Arabidopsis thaliana: one gene and its partner. The protein of the gene in region 1 interacts with the protein of each later gene in a pairwise test. Each region holds a gene or a part of one and is shown on either strand. Other genes may lie near its edges.

Region 1 (11,374 bases):
TCAAAAATTGATGAAACGAGATAAATTTTACTAGAATTATATATCTTTTTCAATCTAATACTGATGAATGATTTCAAACATGATTCTGACTCTATTTTTCTTTAATGTAATTGTGAATTTGTCTAATGCAGGATGGGGAACCAATGAGAGGATGATCATATCAATCTTGGCTCACAGAAATGCAACGCAACGTAGTTTCATTCGTGCCGTTTATGCTGCTAACTACAATAAGGATCTTCTCAAGGAATTAGACAGAGAGCTTTCCGGTGACTTTGAGGTTTTAATTTGAGACAACATCTTTATATATTCGTCTTCTTTTGGTTTTAGTCTACTGATCTGTTTAACTATGTTTTCTTTTTTTGTAAACAAAACAGCGAGCTGTGATGTTGTGGACTTTTGAACCAGCGGAGAGAGATGCTTATTTGGCAAAAGAATCTACCAAAATGTTCACCAAAAACAATTGGGTTCTTGTCGAAATCGCTTGTACTAGATCTGCTCTTGAACTCTTTAATGCCAAGCAAGCATACCAAGCCCGCTACAAGACCTCCCTCGAGGAAGACGTCGCATACCACACATCTGGAGACATTCGAAAGGTATTATATAATTAATTATGTGAAAGTTTCATGAGCTTAATTCCATCTGAGATATCCAATAAAATCAAATGTATCTAGTTCATCTATTTTGTATACTAGATGAAATCTCATATGTTTATTGATGTAATTAAGATTCCTAGCTAACAAACTCAGTTCGTATAACTATGTCAAGAATGCATATAAATTTGTGACATATGTTTTTGTTTATGCAGCTCTTGGTACCTCTTGTGAGCACTTTTAGGTACGATGGAGATGAAGTGAACATGACGTTAGCTAGGTCCGAGGCTAAGATACTTCACGAGAAGATCAAGGAAAAGGCTTATGCTGATGATGATCTCATAAGAATCTTGACAACCAGGAGCAAAGCACAAATCAGCGCAACTCTCAATCACTACAAAAACAATTTCGGAACTTCCATGAGCAAATACCTAAAGGAGGATTCGGAAAACGAATACATTCAATTGCTCAAAGCCGTGATCAAATGCTTGACATATCCAGAGAAGTATTTTGAGAAAGTTCTACGTCAAGCCATCAACAAATTGGGAACAGATGAGTGGGGACTAACGAGAGTGGTCACTACACGAGCAGAGTTTGACATGGAACGGATCAAAGAGGAATATATACGTAGAAACAGTGTTCCTCTTGATCGAGCCATTGCTAAAGACACTCATGGTGACTATGAGGATATACTTCTCGCTCTTCTCGGACATGACCATGCTTGAAATAACATTTGCAAGTTTTGTTTAAGAAAAAAAACTAAATTTTATCGCTTTGTGTTTAATAAAACAGTTGTGGTTGGACTTGCAACTTGGTCATGTTAAGAATTTAGTGTCTTCAGTTTCATTTGTCGTCGATGTTTTCAGTTATTTTTTTTTTTAAATCTAAAAATTATAAAACCATATCAAAAATTATTATTGATCTATTTATAATTAATTTAGTATAAACTAATGAGTTATAATTTTCCCCTTAATTATATGGTTTTAAAATTAAAGCTAAACCCATACTTAATACATCTTGTTAAAATGAACAATATTGGTTCTAATGTTTTGTCCGCCATGTGTTATAATCCATGTCCAAATAATGAAATATCCAAATAATGAAATTAATTAAGGAATATGCGTGTATTATATAACAGAAAAAATAAATAAATTAAAAGTTAAATTTCGGTACCTATGTAATCCCATATTTAAGCTGTTTAAAGTGCATTTAAAATCCAGCTTTATGACAAAAACCCAAAACATGATTCTTGTTTTTTCATTTCTGTTCACTGTATACAGCCTGTAATTGTATTAATAAAATCTCTCATTTTACTAATTTACTTAAATTGTTAAGTCTATTTTAAAACAAAATTGATTAATAATTAACAAAATTTGAGATTTCAGTTCATTATTTAAGAAAATGTGCAATTTCCATTTAATATTCAGCTTTATGACAAAAAAATGCAAAACATTATACTTGTTTTATCAATTCTATCCACTGTAGACAGCCTGTATTAATAATTTTTTCCTCTTTTACTGATTTACATAGATTGCTAAATCTAATTTTTAACAAAAATAATTAATAAAATATAAAAAATTGGGATATCATTTCATTATTTAAGACAGTGTGCATGTTCCTCGTCCCACATTTTCTTCGTCTCATCTAGAGAGCTAGAGAAATATTCAGTGGTCGGAGAATGGCGTCTCTCAAAATTCCAGCAAATATTCCTCTTCCCGAAGAAGACTCCGAGCAGCTCCACAAGGCATTCAAAGGTTTTCATGATCCATCCCTTCATTGTTAGATTGATTTAGTAAAAGTTAAATACTAGGCCTTCACATTCATGCTTTGATTGAATCATTTGCATTTTGATATTATTTAATTGGGTTGATTATCAATAGTTCAATCTATTATCATGACAGGTCTGATCTACTGATCTAGCTTGCTGGTTTGGTTGATGACACGTATATAGGTTTAATTTTAAGAAGTGGATGATAAGTTAGCTCTTTTTTATTTCGTTTTTCAAATGATTCTTAGGAAGTCTTAACTTCGTGAAGTTTTGTGGTTATACTCCATTGCATGATTCTTTTGTTACGGTGCAAAATTGTGTGACATATTATTTACTCTTTTGCTGATTTTGGATGCAATTGATTTTATGTTGGAGCGTTTCCTGACCGTTTGGTTTGTAATCGACGATTAGACAACTCTTTTAAACAGATTAACTTGTTGCTTTCGTAACAATTTTTTTATTCAGATTTAAACCCAAAAAAAAAATTCTAATAATCTTCTAAGATTTTTTCAAGCTTGGTTTTTTTTCTACTAGCGAACATCAGCTTTCTTGTATATTTACAGTTAATTTCTAACTGTCGTAAAATTTTGGTTTGGTTTAGTTAGGTTTTGTTACATACTCTCTATCTGACTAAACTTGGGTTTGAAATTTGTTTTTGTGTGGCGCAGGATGGGGAACTAATGAAGGGATGATCATATCAATTTTGGCTCATAGAAACGCAACGCAACGCAGTTTCATTCGTGCCGTTTATGCTGCTAACTACAATAAGGATCTTCTCAAGGAATTAGACGGAGAGCTTTCTGGTGACTTTGAGGTTTGTCAAAACTAAAAGATACAAAATCTATATTTCTTCATCTTATTTTGAACATCTTACTTTGCTTGAAAACAGAGAGTTGTGATGTTGTGGACTCTTGATCCAACGGAGAGAGATGCGTATTTGGCCAATGAATCTACCAAATTGTTCACCAAAAACATTTGGGTCCTAGTTGAAATCGCTTGTACTAGACCTTCTCTTGAGTTTTTCAAGACCAAGCAAGCATACCATGTTCGCTACAAGACCTCTCTCGAGGAAGATGTTGCATACCATACATCTGGAAATATCCGAAAGGTAGTGAAAGATTTATGTATATCATTCTTTAAACCAATTAGTAAGTTTCTGATGATATGTTGTTTTGTTTTGACCACTTGTAAAAATGCAGCTATTGGTTCCTCTTGTGAGCACCTTCAGGTACGATGGAAATGCTGATGAGGTCAACGTGAAGCTGGCTAGATCCGAAGCTAAGACACTTCACAAGAAGATCACTGAGAAGGCTTACACTGATGAAGATCTCATCAGAATCTTGACAACAAGGAGCAAAGCACAGATCAATGCAACACTCAATCACTTCAAGGACAAGTTTGGAAGTTCCATTAACAAGTTTCTCAAAGAAGATTCGAACGATGATTATGTTCAATTACTCAAAACCGCGATCAAATGCTTGACATATCCAGAGAAGTACTTTGAGAAGGTTCTACGTCGAGCCATCAACAGGATGGGAACAGACGAGTGGGCACTTACTAGAGTGGTCACTACAAGAGCAGAGGTCGACCTGGAGCGGATCAAAGAAGAATACTTACGCAGGAACAGTGTTCCTCTTGATCGAGCCATTGCTAATGACACTTCTGGTGACTACAAGGATATGCTTCTCGCCCTTCTTGGACATGACCATGCTTGAAACAACATCATCGTTTCATAGTCTTTTATAAGACAGTTGTTATTTGTTTTTCATTTTCTTTGAACTTTGGTCCTTAGTTTTTACATTTTACTGCAACAACTTATTCTGGTTTCTTTGAATCATCTCTTCTTTAAATTTTATTCTTACAAACTAAATCCCAGCTAACGCACAAGCTACAACAAAAGCTTCATAATCTACGCAGTTACATGTTCTACAATCTTTACACTCACAAAGATCTTCCACTCTCTTAGTGTTCACGATTTTTGAAGCTTGCACTTTTAAAGCTATCTTCAACAAAAGAGGTTTATGCTTATCACAATCTTCCAGAACGTGATCTTTTGTCTCATCCATCACTACAAATCTCTCTATTTCCATCCCATCAGTCTCTATAACCGATTTCCAAAAAATCTTTCCTCTACCCACCAACTCTGATTTCGACCACTTCTTCAAAAACGGCGTCGTTTTCCTTCTCCGTAGTTCGAAAACAACACTTTGTTGCTTCAATTCCTCGACCGCGGTTTCGTTCCCTTGGCACTCCAGACCGAATGATTGGTTCCAGGAAATGACCTCACAGTCTGATCTCGAACGGATCTCTGGAGTGTTTAGTTCAATCTTACTGTTATTCCCTGCATGGAGATAGAACCTAACGAAGAGAGTGGTTGGCGATGACTTGAGCTCTACGTTTCTAGCTTCCACGATTTTCACTTCAAATTTAAGGGAACGAATGTTTTCAACGATACCCATTTGCTTGAAAATTTCGAATCGAACCAAGAATATATTATTTACCAAGGTAATAACAATTAGAGCAAATTTAAGAGCAGTGAGTTCCTTTGTGATGAATATGTGCATGAACAAATTCTCACTAGCTATTTATATAAATCTATGGGGAATGTTCGAGGAAAGTTTACACTAGATTTCCACATTGTACTTATTAAAATATTCTAAATTTCTAATCATGTTTTTAACTTTTTATTTTTTTCTAATCATGTTAGTGAAGGCTTAATATTTTAGAAATTAAAACTCTTGAGCATCTCAAAAGACCAAGGGTCGATTTTAATAATGACTCTTGCCCATAGTTTTGGGAGATAATTAGATAGATACGTAGGATCACCATATAAAGAATTTTTATAATTTGCAAAAAGAAATTAAGGTGTGCCATTTTGAAGACTTGATCATTATTATATTACATTTCGCGTGGACACATCCAATAGCCGAAAGTTGTTTTGGAACAGAGTCAACAGAATCAAATTAAATAAGAACAAATTATTAGTAGATACATTCGATTGCATATATTAAAATGAGTATGGAATTTGACTCAAAAGATATAATTACAAAAAATATTAGCCACGAATCCCATGATCAATTGTAGTCATACAAGATAGACTTTATTACATAAGAAAATCTCCAAAAAAACTCTTATCACACAATTCATTGTTGACAAAAGTTTTGTATACTAATAATATCATCTATTAAATTTTACAAAAACAATTTTAGTTTCAACTGGTTTTAAATTATAGAAAGAACAAATCATTGCTAATAAGCATAGTCATAAACTCATAATCATGCAGAAATTGTGTTTATTTTGATCATCTCAAGGGTAATGGAAATGTCAATTTAGGTTACTTTCGTTACTATTTACTTTTTTATCAAACACTTTCGTTACTATTTAAAAAAATCTAAATCCTAATACTAACTTACAAAACCCAAATCATTATTTTCTATTACAAAATTTAAAAAATACTTGGAATTTGAAAGAAAAAAACGTTTTTACAATACTTACTTGTAGTGGGTTGCTCATAGTTAACCGAGTGAGTGTTTTCTTACATAATATGAAAGGACAGCATTGTTTTAGTTCATATCATCCGTTGGAGTTATCCAAAGGACAGCATTTTTAAACTTAGTGTACCAATTTAGAAAACGTCACTGCAATTTGCAAAAAGACATCAAAACTAAGAAGATCATCTCAAGAGCCTGACGTAAAAAAAAGGTAAATAGTGGCTTGGTACATATCCTCTTTCCTCCAATCAAATTTCACTCTTGTGTCAATATCGACTATGCATATGATCCTCGGTGGACTAAATGCAGATCTTCCATTTTTCAAAACTTTTACTTTACAATATCGCAATCCAATAAGCTAAGACCCACAAAAATTCTCTATCTTTGTACAAATTTTTTATTACTGTATTAGCTAACGTGCGAATATCCATTTAAAATGTTTTTTAATCTACAATCTCGGCCAATCATTGACCCCCAAAAAAAAATATCTCTCTCAATCACAAATCATTTCTTAATATAAGGAAAAAATATTTTTTTACAAATTGGAACTCCTCTTTGTCTCTGAATAAATACACCACAAAATAAAAATAAATAAAATCACTGAAAAAACAAAACAATTGTTCCTTTCTTCTTTACTCCTTCAAAATGGATAAAATTTTACCACAAATCCTACAATCACACAAAACTAAATAAAGAAACGAAAAAAAAAAAAAAAAGTAAAAGAAAACTTACGATATCCATGAAGCAAGTTTCTTGCTTGTAAAAAAGACTCAAACCCATTCAACGTCTTCTCTGTTCTTCAACTTCTTGTAACGACCTTGTTGTGTTTCAAGGTTTCATATTTCATCTTCTGCAAGCTTTATGCTGTATCCATGCCTCATACCTGAACAAATTCATAGATTGTGTCACCAATAAACCATTAACTAATTTGAAATCAAGACAACAATGTGTTGATCATAATCATGCAAGAATCTCACCTTTGGCAGAAGTTTTCTCATTTTTCTCACTCGATTTATCCCGGTTCTTCCACTTCTCACCGTGACCTTCATCTTCCTCCTCCTCCTCCTCATCATCAAGTCCCATATGATCCCTTCCATCATCTCCTATATCACTCTCACTCGCTGTTTCCCATTCCGAATCATCTGTTTCATTTCCATACACTTCCCTCTCTTCACCTTTCCTATGCACACCTCCATGCTTCAATGCCGCTTCTTTAAACAACCAAGCTGCACGCATCTGTTTCTTCACCAACCTCTCTGCGTAATCAGGAACCTTGTTCTGTCTCATGGAGAGATCCGGATCATTCGACTGAGAACATTCGTTGATGAACAGAATCGCATCTAACAAACTCTCTTTAGCTAGACCTAACATATCATAAGCCTGAGCTCTTCTCCAAAGACTCTTAGCATGCCGGTTTACAGGATTGTGCAAGCAAAGCGCACGTGTAGCGTCACTTATAGCAACCAAAGGCTGTTGTAGCAAGAGATGACACTGAGCTCGATTGCTATACAACACTACTCTTTCCTTCTTCGACCTCATTGGGCATAGAGACAAAGCTTCCGAGTACTTTTCCGCTGCACCCGCGATATCTCCTGATGAAAAGAGAGAGTTTCCTTCGAGTTTGACCACTAAAGCTGCTGCTTGTTTGATATGAAGGTCCTCTTTAGGCATACTCTTCTCCCATTTCAGTCTCTGTCGAGAATTTACCGTTTCTTCGATCAATTCCCTTGAACGGTTACCCATTGAGCTGCATTCTTGAAGAACACTCACAATGGAATCTCCAAGTTTCTTGTGATCACCCAAGTTTGTGATCTCTGCAAGATCTACAAGCGTTGGCACCGCCTTATCAATCACCTTGTGAGACGTATTAGGATCTTGAAGCAACCAAAGAAGACATTCAATCGCCATATACTGCCAATCATCAGAAGAACGAGCGATATTACACAAGGCCTCAATCATTCCTGCACATGCAGAGACAGGTCCACGACCTAGTTTATGCTGACAGATTGTTCTAAGCAAACCGATACCAGCAGGCGAGTTCTCATTCACAAGTCCTCCCCACATAACTGGAAGATTCACCAAGAACTCAGGTTTACACAAAGTGGGAAGAAACTCGGGTTTAAAAGCGAAACAGTTTATGAGCTGAAGAGACCAACACTGCAACTGGCTCGCCCATTCCTCTGCTTTTCTCGACTCCATCTCTACACCTCCCATGCCTCGTGTAAGCAGATCACAATGGTAACTCAACCTTCGATCCGGATACTGGTAAAAATGAGAATAAACTATCTCCAACGAACTCATTGCCAACTGTATAGCAAGCTCGAGGATCTCTCCGTGATCCGCAACAGCGGGAAAAGTACTCGGGTAAGTAGCTAAATGCCCTAAAGCACGAACCGCCACTCTCTGTTCAACCCAAGTAAGCCTACCTCTTAAAAGCTCAACAAGTGGAGGAATCACACCAGCTTCTACAGCTCTCTCAGCAAACTCTTCCATGTTCATAGTGTAAGACCCGATAATGTGAGCCGCGTAGTAAGGAATGTATATGTTCTGGTCATGAGATAGCCAACGCCGGTTTTTAAGTCCTTTCCATATCAAAGCAGACATACACTCAAAGATTCCAAGCTCAATGAACTCAGGATCATTAGGATGAGCCATTGCTGTGTTCCAGAGACCACTAATGGGAAGAACTTGACCATCATCGTCTTGAGAAGGAAGATCTCTAAAGAATTTGAGAATGCAGGATCTTCGTTTACTCGGGTTTCCTTCTTTCATTACACAGAAGAAACATCCTGGATAAGGACACTCTTGTGAGGAAGCTTTATCCATTGACAAACAAAAACCAAAACTTGCTTCTGCTTCCTTGATGTTGCTATCACTCAATTAGTCTATAACACCAAACACCAAAAACATATCACTTTAGTTGAAAATGAATAAATTTATAATATGTTACTACTTGCCAAGTCAAAATCCTGAAAACGAAAGGCGAAATTGGATCTTACAAAAGAAACTGAGTGGTCCTAATTTTTGAAAAATCCTAGAGGGAAACAAAGAGACAGCTGAAATATAGACAAAATGAACTTGTAAATTTTCACAATCGAACACAACAAATAAATTCCGCAACTAAAAGACAACATTGCTCGAATCAATTAGATCTCTGGGGACATGAAGGACAACATATATCAAACAGTGGAGATTCTTGATGTGTCTAACAGTAAGATCTAAAGTACCAAAAACACTTCAAATCAGCTAATTGAGTATAAGAACCCAAACCCAGTAGAGAGAAATAGGATTCTAGACACTTTACAATGAAAGCACGAATCTTTCGAGAAACCCATAAAATAAAAAGAATAAAAATCCAGTCTTGTATACGTTACAACAAACAACAAAAAGAGAAAGTTTTTATCTTTCTTTTGCTTGCTGAATTTTGACTCTGAGAGAAAAAAGGCTAAGAAGAAAAAGAAGATACCTAGAATTAGGAAATTGGCAAAGTAACCCTACAAAAACAGCTATTTCTTCGATCTTTGCAACTAACTGAAGAATCTGTACAGTTGCATTTAGGTCACGATTCTTCTGGTTTCTCTTCTTCAGTCCGACATTGGAAGTGACTTCAACGATGAAGAAGAGAGAGAGTTGGATCTTCTCTTGTGTATAAAAGTTTGGGAGAGAAAGAAGAGTAAAGTTCAATTATCAGAACCCAAAATTGGAAATAACTCCAATATACTGACGCGCCTGCCTCTTGTTCTGTCGGAATCCGGTTTAAGTCCGGTTCGGTATTAACTAAGTCTAATGTTTTTACCAAATTAATACTCCACATTAATTTTATTATGGGATTTGCAAATTAAGAAAGCGAATAATCATTCAATACTCATTAATATTTTTCCTTACAAAAACAAAAATCAGTAATTTTCCTTTTACTCTGTTCTTGTAAATGTTATCTACCGGTATATTTCACTTCAGTACTTTTCTTTTACAAAAATTATAACTATGACCCCATCTTCCTATAATTGAAGTATGGAACCCTATTGTCAATAACAACCCAAATCATCATCATTTGACTCTGTTCTTAACTCTCATTCTGATGCTGCTTAAGCAAATAAGCCTCATCGTGTTCTTCAGCTCCAAAACACTTCACTTCGATCTCATCTTCCTCTTCATTGAGTTGTTGCATCTCTGACTCGATCAAGGCTTGCATTTTTGCTCTGTCTCGGTCCCTCGGGTATGTGCAATATAGGAACGAGTAGATTGTGCAACAGATCACCATCGGGATCCCAATCGATGTGTATAATGCTTTAGCGAGCGATGCTGCGTTCGCTCTATCTGTATCAATCTTGACCGAGCTTGTGGATCCTTCCGGGATTGGTTTATATCCATAGATGTTCTGAGCAAGCATCCCTACTATAGGAGGAGCAAAAGAAGCTAGAATCGACTCGAATGATCTGTCTAACGCGTAGATGCTCGTTCGTGCTCTCTCAGGAACTATCTCTGCAAATATTGGACTGTATAAAACCATTTCAAGTAGATGCTTCCGGAAGTAAAGAAAAGCCAAAATATTTTGAATATGATTGAAATATATAAGTATTAAACTTACCCGTTTGTAGCTGCACCGTTCCATGAGATGCATAATCCCATGATGACAAGAACCAGACCGTGGCTAAAGGCCGTGGAGGGATCATCAGGTAATCCGATAAGCAAAATCGCAGCTAAAGGAATTGCCGAGCCAGAGCTTACCTGAGAGAGGAAAATCCTACCGCCATTTGGGAACTTCTTGGCGAGAGTATCTCCCATGTATCCTCCAAACAAACCTCCAAGAGAGCAAGAAATGGTGAAAAGAGTCACGAGAACCGCGGTTGTTTTGTGGGAGAAACCAATGAGTTCTAGCCACAATGGTGCAAAAGCCAAAGCTGACCAAGGGAAAGAACCCGAAACTCCCTGAGCGACAAAGATTTGGAAAGACGGAATCTTTATCACCATCTTAGCTTCTTTCAATAGATCTCTTATGTCTGACCAGAAAGGTTTGTCTTTGACATGTTTTGTGATCTTTCTGTCGCTGTAGTGAGGATCTGTTGCGAAGAGACGGACCAAAATGCCTACTATCACGCTAACGACTGCTACCAAAAGGAAAGCGATTCTCCATCCAGCGACACCATTGAAAGATTTTGAGGCAAAGAGGATGGAACATACATAGCCAAGTATGGAACCAATGTTTGATGTGAATCCTAACCACCCAAATGCCATCCCACGGTTATAGTCATCAGTTGAGTCAGCGACTAGGGACTGAATCGCGGGTGTCACAATGGCTAGCCCTATCCCGTTCAAGCCTCTTGATACTGCCACCTAGTTTCAACCAGCAAACATATATAGGAACAATGTAAAATCCATTCGATTCACCTTTGTGACAAATGAAACTTGCAATGAGTTCATAATCATTGCAATGAAATTGAAGCAATCCCCTGAAGAACACAATGACACAGTCTTAAGTTCTAATGCCTTCACATAAGAACAAAAAAATCTCAACATCAAAACAA
Region 2 (7,539 bases), on another chromosome or scaffold:
TTGTGAGTTATTTGGCAGCAAAAGCCTAAATTATTACTAGAAGATAATGGAAGGAAAAGTAATGTATCGGAGAAAAGAAGAATATCAATATTCCTTGACATCTATTTTCTCCCACTTCTTTTTCTTTTGCCACCTCTTTTCATTTCTAATTTTTTTCCTACATCGTAAATTCTTATATGAAACAAAATAAAACAAAAAAAGTTCCATTTATACACTCATGTTAAGTCACACACACAAAAATAAAAGTTTATGTAACATACGGGCATTTTGCATAATATGTCAATTCAATTTTTTCCCATAGAATTTCACAATAAATCACATGCAGTTGTACGTATTTTCATGTACTTACTCTGTTTCGGTTGCATCTACAAAGTCCGATTTTAACAAATTCGTTTAGTTTCGATTCAGTATTGGTCCCGTGAATTATTTGGAGTTTTGTATAAATTGATTAATAATATATGTGATGAAAGAGTTGGTGCCTTTGACGTACGGCATAGACTTAGAGTATAGAGACGTGGTGGTCTTGTGTAACTCAAGTGTTGTCATGTCGGAGTCACTGTGGGACTGCTCTACTCGAATCTAATTTGGGCCTTTCTGAAACCCTAAAACCGATTTTGTTCCAATCTCAGTTTGGACCCCTCTTCTCTCACCTTAGATGGGCTTTTGGATCCTCGATTCTTCTCCTCTGTTTTCCTTTTTGTTTTTATGTTTCTTAACCCATCAAAGAGTTTAATAATTGAAAAGAAAAAGAGTTTGATCGGTTTTATCTAAAAAATCTATATAGCAGCCATTTTGTGAAATAAATCCTATAGTTGGGAATTATTTACAATAACTGCCACTAGATTTTAATGTTTGTTTTTGATAATTAGAAAAAAAAATCTTTGAATAATTAAATATTTGACATTTAACAATCTTCCCTAAATCTCTCAACATTAACTACACGATTAGTTACTAAAATAAAACTTGCAAAATATTTAATATCATTTAATTATTACAAAATTATTATTTTTGATATTGCTTTTCTCCATGACTATAATAATTCGATTATAATCATCAAACCGCAGAGATATTTGATAGCATTTAATTACTACAAAATTACAAAATATTTAGACAATAATTCATAAACATATCATAAATAAGATCAATATTAATAAAATAAATAGTTTTTTACGGGACGGGTTGGCGGGACGGGTTTGGCAAGACGTTACTTAATAACAATTGTAAACTATAAAATAATTTTTTTTATAGATAGATACAATTTGTAAACTTTTATGTATACTAACTTTTAGAAAATATCTAGTAAGGTTTAAAAGTGAACCAAACCACAATAAAGTGTTTCTTATAGAGTGATTATCCCAAGACTTGTAAGTCTTAATTCTCGGTTTAACCCTCAAATATACTTTAAAAGGTTAGAAAATGTTGCATTTACTAGATTTTTAAAGTTATCAAAAAGTTTTTGGAGAAACAAAAAACATATTGTGGATTCCAGATAAACTAGACAGTAGTCGCATATATAGATGTATAGATGTAAGTTAATTTAACAAATGATTTCTTAATATCTATTGGTTTTAGATTTTCAATTAGTATTGAATTTTTATTTTAGAGATGGTTCACTACTACGATAGATCAATTAAAACGTTAAAATGAATATAAGTTCTGACAATGGACAAAATGAAACACTGGTTTAAAGAATGAGTAAGATATCTTTGTTAATAGCAAAGCAATAATTTAGTAAGGTTTTCTAACTTTCCGGTAAAACCCCGAAGTAAGTGAAAAGGTTCCCACATTTGTCTGTGTAGGTAAACAAGAACACTTGACCAAGAAAGACAATAAGAACACATGAAAACAAACACATATTTGACATATAATATGATAACTTCTATTTGCTTGTTTGTGAAATGTAGATAAAACAAAGTAAACACAAAGAAAAAATAGTGATATTCAAAAAGGAAATAGGATGGTCAAAATTGTGTGGTGAGATAAGAAAGGGCACTCACATGTTCACACGATGGAACACTAACGTGTGAGGTTAATGATTGCTTTTGCCACACTACCCATAAACTTCAGAAGGAATTTTTAAAAAAATTAGAAGTTTTTCTATAGTTTCTTTTGAGTTGAATACAAATATAACTTTAACAATAATATATAGTGCAAAAGCTAAAAATATTTCTATAAGATATACTTTTTGGTCGAGAGGTTGAGTATAGAGGGGACACCAGCTGCCCCAAAACCATCACGCTCCATGGACAAACTTTCTCCACCTTTTTTTTTCCTTCTTCTTCTTCTCTTAGTTTTCTTCAATATTATTTTATTAAATTCGCCATAAAATTATAGTTTATAGAAAACAATTATTAAAAAAGAGAGAAAGGGAAAAGGGAGAGTGATGAGAAGAGTCGGTCCTTTTTGTCTCATAGAGCCAATGGCCCATCAATTTTATTTCCTTTTGTCAGTCTCCTTTTCTCACGCTTCCTCTTCCTTTAATCCCACATTCACCTTCTTCTTCATATATATTCCAATTTACTAATGGTCTAATTGGCTATATTATTGAGTCATTTGGTTCATATATCCCCAGCCTCCCATAGAGGCAAGTTGGTGAGCCATTTTCTATAAACAAAACGGATACCTATTGAAGAAACCAGAATAGAGATACATAGCAAACATAGTATCTCTACAATATTTCAAAACACTTTCATTATAAATATAACAGATATGTACAAACCTCACTAGATACGGATACACATCATTATACATTCTAACATATTCTTCTTATTCACACGAAACTTTAGAGCCAAAATTCGATTAGTAAAATAAACTAAAAGAAAGTAAATTAAAGTAAGTTTTCAGTATTTTTGGTTAATCCTCTCAAGTCTCATCACACTTTCATTGTACATGTAGCCGTACATAATATGAAATTTGGCGTCCTAAATATACAACGTATATAAAGTGTTACTTTTTCGAATATACGTTTAAGCATTTTTGTGTCATGCATAAATGCACGTCTTTTCCATATGATCAACAAAAACAGTAGACTAGACATTTCGCTAACACTTAATTAATCTCAACTAAAAGTAAAACAGTTCGTCATAATCACATGGATATATACGAATATATAAGAAAGAAAGAAAACCAGGCACTGCTTATATTCTTTGGTCTGAAAAATGTGGTCAAATGTACACATTTAGAAAGACATGAACAAAGAAAGAGATAGGAGAGTTTGGATTCATTTGGGGACAAAGGTGACATAAGGGTCGCTTTGAAACTCACAGCATACAAACATAGACCTTCTCTTCACTATATATACATATATATTCACATGTATAGTGTGTATATGTAAATCGAAGTACCCTAGTTTCTTTTGGACTTCACCAATCACATCTGTTACTTAGATTCTTCTACGTCGACAAATATTCCCACAATCTCAAAACCCTAGTCATCACACCAACAACCAAAAAGATATATATAAATAGAGGAAAATAACATGACAAATATTCTTTATATATAATATAGATCTTTTTCTTTTTCTTGAAAAAGAAAAAAAAAAGAAAAGAAAAAGAACACACCAAACCTACTTACAACATTTGCTTACACTCCCAAGACTTAGTAACTAAAACCATATAACATATATATTATTAAAGAGGAATAAAAAAGGTTTTGGTAATTATAACCAAGTTAATTATGATCATACCCTATATATATTAATCAATTATAGACTTTTTAGTGTGCTCAATTCTCATCATTTCACACCATTATGATGTGATCCAGCGCACGACGCCGCTTTGACCGTTCTCCTCCTCCACCACCAGAACTACGTTCCATCAACGACTTGCTTGACCGCTCAAGCAGCGACTTGAGAGCATTTTGCAAAAAATGCACAGACTCGACGCCGTGCATCTCTTTGTCAGCAGCTACGACAAGAACACTTCTTGTCCGACCACCAATGGTTACCATCTCAGCTCGGAGAGTCTTCATGTTAAGAGACTTGAGAATCTCCATAAGGTCCGGCAAGAGATCTGATCTATCTTCACAACATAGAGAGGCTTTGAAGATTATATGACCGTCGTTTGAATAGTCTCCAAAGTGTAGAACACTAATTTCGTCGGTCTCTGATGGTAATAATGTTTGGTCGGAGTCGGAGGTCTCTAGGGTTTGCTGTTTAAGTTCTCTGACTCGTTGAACTACTTTGGCGAGCAGTGTGGCTTTATCGGTCTGAAAATAGAAACATGAAATTACAATGAAAAGTTTGGATCAAGAAGTTGAAATTTGATGTTTGTATCAAATCAAATCAACTGAAAAAGCTTGAGAACTTTCCCAAAAAGTGATATACTATCCCAACGAGCTTCACAAAAAGGCCATGAAGCTTTTCGTTTTTCTCATCTGATCACTACTCGCCAGTTTTGAATATTCAAATCAAAATATATATCAATCTTTAGAATTATAAATGTAGAAAATTAGGGATCATCTTTGATAAATATGTGCTTGTTAATAAGTAAGAATAGTAAGACAAAAAAGACTCAATTGAAACCAAATGATTATAAAATGTTATCATGAAAAAGTACAGTATTCATGAGCTAACACCAAATCGAATGAAACATGAGAAAATTTTAAAGATGTAAACTCTGGGTTAGAGAAGATGCAAAACCCTAATTATATACCCATTTCAAAAATCTTTTCTTAAAATTTCAAAGAAATATATACGTACAGATGTATAAACATCATATGTACGAGGAGAGATACATACGCCAAATGAAAAAGTATCAAAAGTTTATATTACCTTAGAATTACAAGAGAGTACGTTACGAAGCTTGTTGAGATGAGAATTGATCCTCTCTCTCCTTCTTCTCTCAGCTTCTTTGTGGTTCCTCAAAGCAGCTAAAGCTCTGTCTTGAGCCATCGTTTCTCCGATGCCGGAGATCGCCAGTGGGTAATACGATGACGTCGACGACGAAGACCCACATAAGCTCTGCATAGTCGTCATGTAGTCGCCGGAGACGCAGTACCCTCCACCGCCGACTTCGTTTCCGGCAAGAAACGAGTACAACATCTGATCTGAGGTCTCTGGTTGCATTATCTTTTGTTTGCGCCGCCTTCTTTTGGTTTTTTGTTAATTAATGGGGTTTGTGGAGCTTTCGGTGGGTTCTGTCCTAAAAGATGGATTATATATACGTGAAATGAGAGGGTAGAGAGTGTAGATTATTTTTTTTATTTTTTTTATTTTAGATGTTAAATACTTGATTTTTGTATTTATATATATATTGGTGGGGAAAAAGTTGCTATAGAGTTTGAAATTTTTAGGAAGGGTCCTTAATTAGGTCATTGTCTTGCCACCATCATCATTCTAAATAGTTCTATATGATCCATCAATTGAACTGAAGATACATACGGACTTTTGGGACTATATAGTATATTACTGCATTTCCAAAATTCAAAAATTCAAAAACAAATCTCAAAAAATTGAACATTCTTTAAATCTTTACTTATGAATAATAATGATGTTTTACCACTACCATAATAATGATCCTTTAAGTTATTATGATAAGATACCATTTCTAAGGTATTAAAGATAAACAATAAAAGGCATATCCTGATATGATTTATGCTGCTTCTATCATTGTGTTTTGTCCGGATAAATCTCACACAGTGCAATGCGATAACATAAATTTGTTATTTAACAAAAATTAAATAATATACAGTATTTGTTTTAACTTAATGTCTGGAAAAACTTGAGTATTCAAAAGCCCTAATTTTTTTTTTTTGACAACATAAAAGCCCTAAATAATCAACAAATTTGATAATCATAAGAGAAAGCTACTGCAGAAAAATAATTTACGAATGAGACAACCATATGATATGAGGAAGGCTTCGCCATAAAATATGGGCCTAAATTATATAAAAAATAAGGACCCAAATAGTGGCCCAATTACAAAGTTTTGGTAAAACGGTGACCACAAAACTGGCGCAAGCCAGAACCATGCAGTAGAGACAGAGCTCGACCTTTGACTTTGATAATGGCAGTTTCTTCGAAACATTTCCAGGTTCCTTCATCTTTCACGCTTCCTCCATCTTCTTTCTTCAGCTCCTTAATCCCTTCTTCTCCAATCTCTGTTACTGCTTCAACGATTCGAGCCTCCACAAAATTTAGCTCCATACGCGTCCGTTTCAGTCGAAGATCAATCGTCAGATACAACGACCACGCCGGAGAAGACGAAGAGGATAGTGACGAGGATAAGGAAGAATATTGGAGCTTTGAGGAAGCAGTGACTCTCTTCAACAAGAGGGATTATTACAAAAGTCATGACGCGCTTGAAGCTCTTTGGATTCAAGCAGAGGAACCAACTCGTACCTTAATCCATGGAATTCTTCAATGTGCTGTTGGATTTCACCATCTATTCAACAACGTAAATCTACTCTCCTTTTAACTCCATCTATTGCTCGTTTTCGTTCACGTTTGAGGTAATTTTAGTGAGTGTTTTGGGATTTGAAGAACCATAAAGGAGCGATGATGGAGTTAGGAGAAGGAGTATGTAAGCTAAGGAAGATGAATTTCGAAGACGGACCGTTTCATGAATTCGAGCGAGATGTCTCCGCAGTTCTTGAATTCGTTTATCAAACTCAGCTTGAACTTGCTGCCTGTAAGTTTTGAATTTTGAATTTTTGATTGAGGAAACCATTTAGCAAATTGAACCTAATTGTGACACTCAAGAAATCTGAATTGATTGATGATAGGTTCAGAAGATATGTGTTTGACGATGGATCAATCAGACAGATCGTATCAACTCTTAGGTGGTTATGCAGCTGGAGAGAGTATTTACAGCTTAGAGACTGTGCTTGACTTCAACAATGGAATGTCTGAGACAACTTCTATACTCTTCTCTCCTTTACATTCATCGTCTGAGCCAACTCGGGTTAAGCTCCCTACCCTTACCGCAACCGATAAGCATCTTCTTGCTTCTACATACGACGACAGATTCTAAAGAGAATGATCAATACGAAGATAATAGAAGAAGATCTCATTACTGTTATATTTCAAGAATCAGGTTCTGAACCTGTCAATAACATGAACAATGAGTCATTTAGACAAAAGGTAAAAACACATAACATTCCTGTCTTTTTAACCAGCAAAAACCAGCCATGAATGAAATTTTAGAACAAAGCGAAGGAACATTCTTTATGAAATTACATAAGAAGGTAGTCAAAAAAAAAAAAGGAGAAAGCCGAAGAAGTTGTTTCAATCCTCACTTAGCCATCATAACCTTCACAAACTCTTCGTAGTTGATCTGACCATCACCATCAACATCAGCTTCCTTAATCATCTCATCAACTTCTTCATCAGTAAGCTTCTCGCCGAGGTTAGTCATCACATGTCTCAATTCAGCAGCTGAGATGAAACCGTTCTGGTCTTTGTCGAAAACTCTGAAAGCTTCCTTGAGTTCTTCCTCAGAGTCAGTGTCCTTCATTTTCCTAGCCATTAGGTTCAAGAACTCCGGGAAATCAATGGTTCCGTTACCATCCGCATCAACTTCGTTGATCATGTCCTGAAGC

What was found.
Region 2: the proteins of AT5G10210 (region 1) and AT2G41120 interact in a two-hybrid assay, tested with the Arabidopsis thaliana proteins (one large-scale study listed by BioGRID).

What each region holds. Positions count from the first base shown.
Region 1 is NC_003076.8:3,199,679-3,211,052, reverse strand, and holds AT5G10210 (nitric oxide synthase-interacting protein), read right to left. Parts: upstream 4,914-11,374; 5' UTR 4,818-4,913; coding exon 4,224-4,817; 3' UTR 4,074-4,223; downstream 1-4,073. Other genes in the region: ANNAT7 (annexin 7), read left to right, coding at 132-277, 375-593, 806-1,315; ANN6 (annexin 6), read left to right, coding at 2,269-2,344, 3,027-3,172, 3,248-3,466, 3,558-4,073; AT5G10200 (ARM-repeat/Tetratricopeptide repeat (TPR)-like protein), read right to left, coding at 6,686-6,732, 6,827-8,675; AT5G10190 (Major facilitator superfamily protein), read right to left, coding at 9,913-10,345, 10,438-11,183.
Region 2 is NC_003071.7:17,140,886-17,148,424, reverse strand, and holds AT2G41120 (DUF309 domain protein), read left to right. Parts: upstream 1-5,939; 5' UTR 5,940-6,005; coding exon 6,006-6,395; intron 6,396-6,481; coding exon 6,482-6,629; intron 6,630-6,723; coding exon 6,724-6,971; 3' UTR 6,972-7,150; downstream 7,151-7,539. Other genes in the region: AT2G41130 (basic helix-loop-helix (bHLH) DNA-binding superfamily protein), read right to left, coding at 3,739-4,206, 4,772-5,065; CAM2 (calmodulin 2), read right to left, coding at 7,233-7,539.